Ovis aries: one gene and its partners. The protein of the gene in region 1 interacts with the protein of each later gene in a biochemical or structural test. Links are inferred from orthologs where the notes say so. Each region holds a gene or a part of one and is shown in the gene's direction. Other genes may lie near its edges.

The links.
Region 2: the proteins of PJA1 (region 1) and MAGED1 form a complex in vitro, tested with the Homo sapiens proteins (2 studies listed by BioGRID, with this or other methods). The link is inferred for Ovis aries from reciprocal best matches to the Homo sapiens genes PJA1 and MAGED1.
Region 3: the proteins of PJA1 (region 1) and NSMCE3 form a complex in vitro, tested with the Homo sapiens proteins (2 studies listed by BioGRID). The link is inferred for Ovis aries from reciprocal best matches to the Homo sapiens genes PJA1 and NSMCE3.

The regions. Positions count from the first base shown.
Region 1 is NC_056080.1:62,082,366-62,086,246, reverse strand, and holds the end of PJA1 (E3 ubiquitin-protein ligase Praja-1), read left to right. Parts: coding exon 1-1,283; 3' UTR 1,284-3,278; downstream 3,279-3,881. UniProt on the Homo sapiens protein: Has E2-dependent E3 ubiquitin-protein ligase activity. Ubiquitinates MAGED1 antigen leading to its subsequent degradation by proteasome. May be involved in protein sorting.
Region 2 is NC_056080.1:53,694,738-53,698,999, reverse strand, and holds the start of MAGED1 (melanoma-associated antigen D1), read left to right. Parts: upstream 1-1,329; 5' UTR 1,330-1,376; exon of another isoform or gene 1,377-1,483; intron 1,484-1,732; exon of another isoform or gene 1,733-1,856; coding exon of another isoform or gene 1,857-1,911; intron 1,912-4,262. UniProt on the Homo sapiens protein: Involved in the apoptotic response after nerve growth factor (NGF) binding in neuronal cells. Inhibits cell cycle progression, and facilitates NGFR-mediated apoptosis. May act as a regulator of the function of DLX family members.
Region 3 is NC_056071.1:25,979,483-25,983,041, reverse strand, and holds NSMCE3 (non-structural maintenance of chromosomes element 3 homolog), read left to right. Parts: upstream 1-1,375; 5' UTR 1,376-1,499; coding exon 1,500-2,357; 3' UTR 2,358-2,929; downstream 2,930-3,559. UniProt on the Homo sapiens protein: Component of the SMC5-SMC6 complex, a complex involved in repair of DNA double-strand breaks by homologous recombination. The complex may promote sister chromatid homologous recombination by recruiting the SMC1-SMC3 cohesin complex to double-strand breaks.

The DNA.
Region 1 (3,881 bases):
GCATGGCCTCTCAGCCGTCTTCTGCTGAAGGCAAGGTGGTCACAAACAGCAACAACCTGGAGAGGGAGAGACAGGAGCCGAATTTACCTGCATGTCCCAGCAGGGCTCCTGTGAGTATTTGTGGTGGGGAAAACACTCCAAAGAGCGCAGAGGAACCGGTGGTGAGGCCCAAAATCAGAAATCTGGCAAGTCCTAACTGCGTGAAACCAAAAATCTTTTTTGATACCGATGATGATGATGATATGCCACATAGCACTTCCAGGTGGAGGGAGACTGCCAGCACTGATGAAGGCCGCTTGGATGGCCTGGCAAGAAGGAGCAGAGGTGAGGGTTCAAGTGGCTACCCTGAGCCGAAGTACCCTGAAGACAAGAGGGAAGCCAGGAGTGACCAAGTGAAGCCCGAAAAGGTGCCTAGACGGCGACGAACCATGGCCGACCCCGACTTCTGGACATACAGTGATGACTACTACAAATACTTTGAAGAAGACTCTGACAGTGACAAAGAGTGGACTGCGGCTCTGCGTCGCAAGTATCGTGGTCGGGAGCAAAATCTGTCATCCAGCGGCGAGAGCTGGGAGACTCTGCCAGGAAAAGAAGAGCTTGAAGCCGAGCAAGCCAGAGTGAATGCCAGTGCTGGTGCCAGTGCTGGCAGCAGTGGCAACAATGAACTTGAAGAAGTTCGAGGGCCCTCTCTCCAGGAAGAGGAAAGGGCGTCCCCCGAAGAAGGGGAAGTTCCTTGGCTCCAGTACAATGAAAACGAGAGCAGCAGCGAGGGGGATAATGATTCTGGTCAGGAGTTTCTGCAGCCTGGTGTCTTCATGCTGGATGGCAACAACAACCTTGAAGATGACTCCAGTGTCAGTGAAGACCTCGAAGTGGATTGGAGCCTCTTCGATGGGTTCGCGGATGGGTTGGGGGTAGCCGAAGCCATTTCATACGTGGATCCTCAGTTCCTCACATACATGGCACTTGAAGAACGCCTGGCCCAGGCAATGGAAACTGCCTTGGCACACTTGGAGTCTCTGGCGGTGGATGTGGAGGTGGCCAATCCACCAGCCAGCAAGGAGAGCATCGACACTCTTCCTGAGATCCTGATCACAGAAGATCACAGTGCGGTGGGGCAGGAGATGTGTTGCCCCATCTGTTGCAGTGAATATGCGAAGGGGGAGGTGGCGACGGAGCTGCCATGCCACCACTATTTCCACAAGCCTTGTGTGTCCATCTGGCTTCAGAAGTCAGGCACCTGCCCTGTGTGCCGCTGCATGTTCCCTCCCCCACTTTAAGACCAAGGTTCTTTATTCCTGGTCTGATGATTTTCCCCATCTGAAATCCACAATACTGCAGGAGCCCTCTCCAAATTAACCATTGCAATGAAATCAGTCAGTCGATTAATCTCCACCTGTTGATTCCTTGTGATTATTTCCAGCGTGAAAATGATTGTGTATGATTGCATTACAAAAATCATACTGTGTTTTAGAGGTTAGAAAGGGAAAACCAAATTTTCTAAGTGCTACTTGAGATTGCAGCAAGAAGATGCATTTTCTAACCTGAGCAGTGAAATGTTGCATTTTTTTTTTTCAGTAGAACATGTTGATGTTGATTGTAATGTCAAGTTTATCTGTTAACTTTGTCCAAGAGGCATCATCATTTCTGCTGCATGTTATGGGTTAATGTTCCTGTAATTGCAGTGCCGTAAAAGCTTATTAAAGTTCTCCTTTTGGTTTTACATGGTATAGTGGAATTGTTTGGTTTCGTCTAAAACCGTGGTACTAAGTGACTTTATAATTGATTTCTTGCATTTGCCTTCAACATAGGGTTTTTGGTGTTCCCACTAGGAAAAAAAAATCAGTTTCATTGGAAATACTGACTCCAACAACAACAAAAGTAAGGGTAATTATTTCTAAAAGTAGGAGTAAAGTGTGTGGCTGTTGAACTACTAAAGGGGCAAAGTTTGAGTAAAGACTATTCTGTCAGTCTATGAGAAGGAAAGAAACAGTGAAAAAGCATAGTAAAAATAATGATGGTAGGAACACATCCAAACAGACTGTAGAGGTGAAGGACTTAAAATTCTCTTTTAGAAAATAGCAAGTCTCAGAAAGTAAAGCAAGTCTCAGAGGGAATGGGTAAAAACTAAAACTGTCTGCTGACTGTATACATTAACACAGTGACACAAAAGGAACAGAGAAATGTGTGCCAGACAAATACTATGAAAAACCGAGGTACCCGCCCACACAAAGTGAACAGGTTTGAACCTTTGGCCATATTGGCTTCAGATCTCTCTCTCCAATGACTATACATTTTGCAGGTGAAGAACTTCACCTGTTCTTTTTACCTGCTTCCACAGAGGTAAGCACTATCCAGGAAATGGTTTGATTACTTCTTGTCTGCCTTTTTTGAAGTGTGTGTGTGCATGTGTATTTGTGTACATATATATGTATATGCCTGTATGTATCTCTATAACCAATATAGAGTTTTTTAAATGGACATAATTGCTAAAATGTATCATTTTGCAGCTTTCTTTTTTTCACTCAACATTGTTTCTGAGATTTCCTCATTTTGATACATGCCTTTTAACTGCTGTATACTAAATATTCCATTGTACACTGACCACAAGTTATTTATCTATTCTCTCATTGGTGGACATTTAGTTTCTTCCCAGTGTTTTGCAACAGTGAACATAATTAAAAGATGTTCCTCTGTACACATGTGTGAATTTCTTTAGGGGTTAAGTACATGGAGGTAAAATTTGGGCATCTTAGGGTTAGAACATCTTCATTCTAACTAGATATTGCCAAACTGCTCTCCTAAGTGACTGTACTAATTCAAACTCCTCCCAACAGTTGGAGAGCTGTTTTCAGCATCAACAGCTTGGCTACTGCTAACGATCAACCTCACTGGCAATCAGTGCTGTGTAAATTAACGCGACAATGAAACTGATTGTGTCCATCAGAAAGTGATAGTTTTTCTTCATGAGAATATCTAGTTTGGACTACAAAGAGAAGAAATGGCAGCACTCGTGCTGTGGGTGTGAATGTAACAATAGCAGCCTTTTCAGGGCAGTTTGGGGAGTAGCTTCGTTTCAAAATGTAAAGTGATGCATGTCCCTGAGAGCAAGTTAGATTTTTTAGTTGTATGGAGTTAATACTATGCAGCAGTTAAAAATGGTATGCACTGATATGGAAAGATCTCCAAGACATAATGTTAAGTCAAAAAAGCATATTGTGGAGCAATATGTATAATCTTGATGTATTGATAAAATAAAACCTTACAAAACCAAACTATATATGAAAATGCATAAAAGTGTCTGGAAGGCTGCAAACCTAACTGATGGCAGTGGTTGCCTCTGGGGAGGAAAAGGGGCTTGGAAGAAAGTAGTAAGGAATGGGGCTTTTTTAAGAAAAGTTAATCTGCTTGATATTTTTTTTCCTGTGTCAGTGTTTTTCCATGACTGTTAACAAAATAAGTCAAATCAAGAAAGTTTCCAATTGATAAAAAATAAAGGATTTTTCTCTCACTGCAAGCACGGAAACCTGTGGTGGAAGCCACAGTCCTTTTTTCCTGCAGCTGGTCAAGCTGCTATTTATAACTTTGTCTCCCAGTCATTCTGTGTCCCCCCTGGCCTTCAGCCAGCACCTCAGCTGTCATGCTGTCTCAGAAGTCTGTGACCTTGGGGGCCTCCATTGGGTGGGGTTGTGGTAGTTGGCCTAACATTAACCTTTGTGGTGCCCTGACTGGCACCACACAAGGAGATGTTTTAAGAACCCCCTTAGGTCCTGATTGCCTTCCTCCCTGCTTGTGGAGCGGTAGCCCCAGTTTTCCTTAGTCAGCCTTGGTACATTCATGGAAAGGGACCTCTCCCCAGGGCCTGTCTGAGGAGCCTA
Region 2 (4,262 bases), about 8.4 Mb from region 1:
TCCTTTCCATTCATCCATTCCATCATGTATTCAACATTAAACAAGTCTTCACTGAGTACCCTCTAGTATATAAGGAGTATTTTAGATTTTAATTATTCACCAGTCGATGGAGTAGCCATAGTTTCAACACTGTCTTCTCTTCATCTATTATTATTGTCACATTATAGTGCTACTAGTTCTTTATGTGTTCATTTCCCTCACTGATTGGAGGGTCTTGAAATCCAGGATTCTATCTTAATCTTCTTCATATGGACAATATCAGAAACAGAACCTTACACCAAGTGGTTGTTCAAAATCTGTTGGTTGAATGACAAAACATGAGTTAAATGCTGAAATGAACTATACAAATACTAGCAAAAGTAAAGACCTTGTGCTAGCCTTTGTCATTGCCCTGACCACATTTTGGTCACTTATTCATTCCACAAGCATCTATAATCACCTATTTTATGCTAGACTCTTACGTGTTTAAATGTTGCCTTAGCCCCTAGGCTGTGGCTTCTAGTGCCATGTCTCTGGGTCTAACGCAGTATTTGGTACACTTGCAAACTGGCTGAAAATAACCACAAAAGAGAAGAACTGGGGTACAGATTTTGGCCCTAGAGGAGTTTTCTGGAGGTAACAGCAATAGGTAACTCAATATTGAACTTTTAACCAAAGTAAGGCTTATTTTTATTATTGAAACTTTTTGTCAATTATCATTGTCTTCATTTGGGTGGGAGGGGTATAAAAGTACACAAGAATGCTTTCTAAATGAGTTCACTTTCTTTTGCAAATTTTAAGTATGGAATGTTACTCTCTGGATACCATTCCAAGACGGAAATGATTCAGATTTAAGACTTTTTAAAGATCTTGAAATTTTTTTAAATTTAAATTTATTTATTTTAATTGGAGGCTAATTACATCTTGAAATTTTTATACTAGTAATTAAAATGAACTTATTTTTTTAATTCCAGAAAGCAGTTAATCAGTATGATAAATATGTAGCTGTAGACATCCGAGAGTTAAGGAAGTAACAGTACTTGAACGTCTGAATCAGCAAGGCGAGGTGACAAATAGGATACACAGAGTTTGGCAGAGATGCTACAGTTCCTTGGATGACTAGGGCTAGTAGGATTTGTAAAAAGTTACTGATTCCTTCTTCCAGAGATCCTACGTCACTATCCAGGTGCGCATCTGGTGAGAGAGCCATTGAGATACAATATTTCAAAAGCTTGCTAGAAAGGCACAGGAAGTTGTCTGGAGTGAAGGCGGAGGTGGGGTGGGGAGTGATGGGGGCGGGGGTGAGGGTGTGGCGTCCTGGGCAAAAGCTTCCGCCAAACAAAAGAAATTAGCACTTCCGGTCACGCCTTCATCTTGTCGCGGCGTTCTTCACCAAGGTGAGTGTAAAGAAAGGGACTGATAATTTTCACAAGTGAGTCCCCAAACACTTCAGGAACGCTTTCCTCTTTGTTTCGCCACGAGGTGGAAAGAATTCATTTCCAGGGTACATTGAAGGATGTTTCTGACGCTTGTGGTTCTGATCTCTGTCTTCACTCTCTCACTCCTCAGGAGATGGCTGGCCGTCATCCCCTCCTTCTGACTCTTATGGTCCTTTTATCCCTGATTATTCTTCACTTCACCTCTTAATCTCGAATCCTCTTCCCGGTCTTTATGAACTTGGGTCATTCCCTGTACCATCGATTTCTTTCCTACCTCTTACTCCCACCTTCCACCCCGCCCTCTTCTTAGCTTCAGAACTTTTGCTACCCTCTTCCCCGACTCTGGCTTCTCTGATGGCTCAGACGGTAAAGTGTCTACCTGCAATGCGGAAGACCTAGGTTCTATCCCTGGGTCGGGAAGATCCTCTGGAGAAGGAAATGGCAACCCACTCCAGTACTCTTGCCTGGAATATCCCATGGACGGAGGAGCCTGGTAAGCTACAGTCCATGGGGTCGCAAAGAGTCGGAAACGGCCGAGAGACTTCTCTTTCTTTCCCCTAGTCTGAGCCTACATTCTTCCCTTTTTTTCCCCTTTAGACCCCAGTATTTTACTCCCCTGAAGACTTCTGATTCTCTTTGGTCCTGCTTCTGCGGAGGACAGTGAATTATTTATTAATACTTTATAAAATTAGGTGTGACTTCAATTTCAAGGGCAAGGCTGTTTTTGTTGTTTTTAAAAATCAGCAATGGAGCAGAAAATTTTTAGAGCTCTCAGAGACGTAGGAACTTGTTCAGATTATGTACTTGTATTTATTTATTACCCTAAACGAAATCCCATATCAGATATTGCACTGGTTTCAGCCTATGACATAAAAAAATTTTGGTATACAACTGAATCTCCAAATTTTGAGTGACAAATGTAGTGAGTTTTGCTTATAACTTGGTGTCAGCTTTAGAAGAGGGAAGCTTTCCCATCTTTAGAATTTCTCACGGGGCAGAAATGGTTGACAGAGATGACATCCAATCACAAATTTATTAATTCATGTGAGTTGGGTTTATTATGTAAATCTTTTCCTGTTGTTCAGTAGCAACATTGAAGAGCAAGTTGACAGATTTTTCAGACAAAGATTTTTTTTTTTTTTAGGAGCTATGCATGTATTATCTATTTGGTGTAATATGAATTTTGTCTTTTTCATTTGTTGCAATGTGAATTTACGTCTTTGCACCATTTATCATGTCTAAACTGTCTTGCAAGACTGTTCATTAATTATCACAATTTTTTATTTCAATTCCAAGAGAGAGAAAAGTAAATTTATAATGAGGGTGAGGGGTATTTCAGGTTATAAAGCGGAATTTAGCAGTCTCCTTGAACAAGCAACTTATTCCCTCTTCTGTAAGGTGTTAGACTTGCCAAAATAAGGGATGATTAAGTATAGTTGAGAGACAATGAGTGAATATAAAATAAATATATAATAGGTTGTGATAGAGATGGTTGTACTATGTTAGATAGGAAAGGCAGAAAGGCCTCCTTGGTATTGTGACATTTGAGCAGAAATCTAAAGGAAAAGAGGGCACAGACTATACATATATGAGTGGGAAGCCAGGATATATTTATGACAGTGGCTTTGCATTTGTTGGTCATTTTGCTTCCAACATTCGCTCTTCTTCCCTCTGCCTGTGGTCACTAGCCAATGGCAACCCATTCCAGTATCCTTACCTGGAAAATCTCATGGACAGAAGAGCCTGGTGGGCTGCAGTCCATGGGGTTGCAAAGAGTCGGCACGACTGGGTGACTAACACTTACTGCCTACTCGAATGATCTAATCTGTCCATGTAAGTTCCCCATATTGTCTTTCTCCTGGCTAGCTTGTTGCTACCATTTAGGTGAACTGTCAGTTACCAGCCCCTCTGGGAAGACACGTCTGCCTCTATCCTGACCTCTTCCTCAGTGTGTTAATTTGTGGTGCATTGTATGCTGTCCTACAGCGTATTTGCTTTCCTCTCTCACTGCTCTTTTCACTGCGTGTTCATAATGTTGCCCATAAATGTTGGTGTGGTAAATTGAAATGAATTTAGTGCCTGTCTTTATAAACAACCTTTTTAATGTAGTTGGCTCCCTAATTAATGTTCAGAACCACTGTTTAAAGTCAGTATCATCGTTGTCATTTTCCTGATGACAAAACCTAGACTCAGGTGGGTAGTAACTTGCTAAATGGTAGTGGAGTTAATGGAGTTAAAATCTGTCAGATACTCAGTCCTGGCCTGATCGTCTCTTTCTCTCTCTCTGTCTCTGTTTATTAATGAGAAGTAGAAAATACTCAATATTTTATTAGACATAGTCTGGATATAAAAATTTCATTTTGTAAGCTTTCTTTCACAAGTCTAATTATATCAGGTACTTGATTTACTTCCTAGTTATAAATGTTAAGAGCTGAAAAGTGTGATGACTTTTTACTTGAAATTTTTTCCCATTTTCAAACTTTTTATTCTTTTTTTTTCCTTTTAAATTTTTAATTGGGGTATGAATACGTAAGGGTACAGCTGAAAGCATTGTCACCACTGTGTAACCTACCACATGATCCAGCAGTTCCACTCATGGTATATATCTGGAAAAAGTGAAAACACTAATTTGAAAAGGTGTGTGCACTCCAGTGTTCTTAGCAGCACTATTTACAATGGCCAGGATATGGAAACGACCCAAGTGTCCATCAGCAGATGAATGGATAAAGATATGGTGTATATGTAAAATGGAATATTGTTGTTTAGTTGCTAAGTCATGTCCGACTCTTTTGCTATGCCCTGTACTGTAGCTCGCCAGGCTCCTCAGTCTGTGGGTATTCCCAG
Region 3 (3,559 bases), on another chromosome or scaffold:
TTGTGTGGAAGAGAACGTTATTACTCATAGTTTACCAGATTTTAGCATTCTTGCATCACAACACAGAATATCATTTTACATTTAGTATTGCTTTTCCAGTGCCATTATCAGATTGCATTTTCATAGTAAATTACAACAAAATTTTATGCTACCAACATTTAATGAAATTTTAATAAGGTTGTGTTTTGATGTTATTATTCAAATAATGTGTTGTGAATTGCTTTCCTTTGAATATATTTGCATTAAAGAGGAACTCAACTTGATTTGGTTCTTTGAACAGTTTACCCACTTTCTGGTAGCTTTAAGAAGACAAAGAGGGAAATTAAGTTTCGCCTTTGCAAGTCAGTAAATAGAAAAGGAACCCATTTGCTAGGATCTGTGGATGTAATGGCAGCAGATTACAGATGGTTTGAGTTAATGAAATGACTCACGTTGGTTACTAAAGCAGCACAATTAAAAATATAAAGTAGATATTTCACAGATTATGACGGATGATAACCTGGAGTTTTCGCTTTCTCATTGATCTCTAAGGCTAGAGACTCACATGTTAGCAATTCTTGGTCAGAGATGCCCCAAATTAAATGGTAGTCTCTTGAGACCGACTTCTCTGTTGGTAGCATTCTCTTAGCCATTTCTGCCAGATCTGTGGTTGTGAGCCCAAGGCCCATCTTTCCATGAGCACGTGCTTCCAATAGATAAAACTCCCCGGATCAAGCAAAAACCCTCCACTTATCGTGCTTTCTGGGGTGACTGTGCCATAGCTGTCCGGCTGAAAGAGTTGATTACACAGAATATCAAGGCTGAAAGGTGAAAAGACACGGAGAAAGAGCCCTGTATGCGAGACGAAGCTGTTTACCATTGTTTCTAAACAGACTCGGGCTTTAGAGAAAGTAACTGGTGGAAAATGGTGAGAAGGGGCTGGCGAAGGCAAACTAGTAGTCCTTGGGGTCTTTTAATTGTCTTTACGTCGTTTCGTGTGGAAAGAAATTGCTCTTACTTCCTTTCCACGCTCTTCGCCGTATTTTTCTCCCATATTCATCCTGGGAGTTTCCTTCACCTACATACAGCCCTGATTTCAGAGCTTTTGACTCTCAAGTTTCTACAGCCCTGGCCTGGGTACGATCCTGAGCCAAGCCGCACACTCGCTCAGGAGCTCTGCTTCCTGTTCGCCATCTGCAGGGTTTGGTAATAACGACGACACTTAATCATAATACAGCCCGAAAGGCTGCAAGGAATACCCGCTTCTTACCGCCGCCGTCCGCGGCCGCTGGCCAGACCGGAGCGACCTCTAGACGCGGCGCGGCCTCGATGACGCAACGCGCAGCCTCCGTGACGCAAGCGCGCAGCTTCTGTGACGCAAGCGCGCAGCTTCTGTGACACAACCGCTTCTCCTCCGGGCCCTCCCACAGCCCCACGGACTAACGGCTAACCGACCTTCAATCCCTGCCACCGCTGCCGGTTACGGGGAGTCCGCGCGGTCGGGGTCCCGCCGCCGCGACATGTCGCAAAAGCCGAAGAGCCGGGGCCGCCCCAGTTCCCAGGGCGAGCGGGAGCCGAGTGGCGGCGGCGAGGAGGCCCCGAGCACGTCTCGCGGGCCGGGCGGCGCCGCGTCGCAGCGGCGGGCCCAGGCCTCCCCCGCGCCGGGGCCGCGCTCGCAGAAGCAGCTGGAGCTGAAGGTGGCGGAGCTGGTGCAGTTCTTGTTGATCAAGGACCAGAGGAAGATCCCTATCCGCCGCACCGACATCCTGCGGCATGTGGTCGGCGACTACAAGGATGTGCTCCCAGAGCTGCTGCGGCGGGCGGCCGAGCGCCTGGAGTACGTGTTCGGGTACCGGCTGGTGGAGCTGGAGCCGCGCAGCAACACCTACATTCTGGTCAACACGCTGGAACCGGTGGAAGAGGACGCGGAGGTGCGCGGAGACCAGGGAACGCCCACCACTGGGCTGCTCATGATCGTGCTGGGGCTCATCTTCATGAAAGGCAATACCATCAAGGAGACCGAGGTCTGGGACTTCCTGCGGCGCCTCGGGGTACACCCCGACAAGAAGCACCTCATCTTCGGGGAACCCAAGAAGCTCATCACCGAGGACTTCGTGCGGCAGCGATACCTGGATTACCGGCGCATCCCGCACACGGACCCCGTGGACTACGAGCTCCAGTGGGGCCCGCGCACCAACCTGGAGACCAGCAAGATGAAGGTGCTCAAGTTTGTGGCTAAAGTCCACAACCAGGACCCCAAGGACTGGCCGGCGCAGTACTGCGAGGCTTTGGCGGACGAGGAGGCCAGGGCCAGACCCCAGCCCGCGGGCCCGAGTCCAGCCACTGCCTCTGCCCCAACCCCTGCTCCTGTCTCTTGAAATCTGAGACACACCCCAGGGCCCTCTCCCTCCCCGGGGGAAGGGCTGGAGGTGGGAGGAAGCATCTTGATTGTTTAAATGCGTGGTAGTTCCAGGAAGTGTTTGCAAACTTTAATTCTTGTAATGTTGTAAGTCGTTTTGATTCTAAAATTTCATTTAGAGGGTGACTTGTTTTGTTTTGATTTGCTTCAGTGTCTGTGTTTTTTGGTGTAAAGATCTTGTTAGCTTTATAAAGCGAATTGGAAAACTTCCTACCCGGATCTGGAACTGCCAAGGAAATATAAGCGAACTGGCCCTTGTCCGGCCTTTGAACTGCCCCACTCTGTAAAGGAAAAGTCTTCGTAAATTGAAAACGAAAGTGTAATTGCCTATATCCCCTATTACCTTAACGCAGCTATTTAAAAAATCTGTTTTCTATGCATGTAAGCATTTTGAGTCATTCTAAGCAATGTGTGTATTGTAGTTTTTCCAAATAACTTTTTACATTGATAATTACTATGCTGTGTGGCTGACCATTTTGTTCAATTTTTTTTGCTACTATAGTTATAATAAATACTGTATTTTTGAAGCAATTTAGCATTATGCATTTATTTTAACCCTAACTCATGAGAAATTTCATGACTGAAAACTAGCATCATAAGGAAAAAAGAAAACAATTTTTGTTACATATCATTGAGGTAAATAGTGTTTTGTTGAAGTTGCTTTACTTTTATATGTGTGACATACTGGATCATGATGTAAAATTATTTCTGTGGGTCATGGAAAAGTTGATAAAAGTCTTAGTGATTAACCATGCCTATTTGGGAATCAGACTAGTGGGTTCAGAGTCTGCCTCACTTACAAATTTAAGGAGATTAAGTTGTACACAGACCTTTCCTTACCTATAAAACGGGTTGATGCTGCCTGTTACTGTGTATGGTAGTGTGATAATTAGGTATGGAAGTTTATGTAAAGTTATGGGCACAAATTTGTTTAAATTGGGCTTTTTTTCCTTGGCTTAGGACTGTTAAAGTTTTTTCTTTTTAACTTTTTCTTTCATTCTCTTGTAAATCATGACTGTCCTTCTAGTCCGACTCTACTGTGTGGTTTATGGAAAAATAGCTCACGATGGAGCCCACATAAACAGAGCAGAAAGTAAGATCCAACTGGGCTTGGAAGGGGTGTCTGCAGTGTAGTGAACAGGATATGGGGTTTTGAGGTTG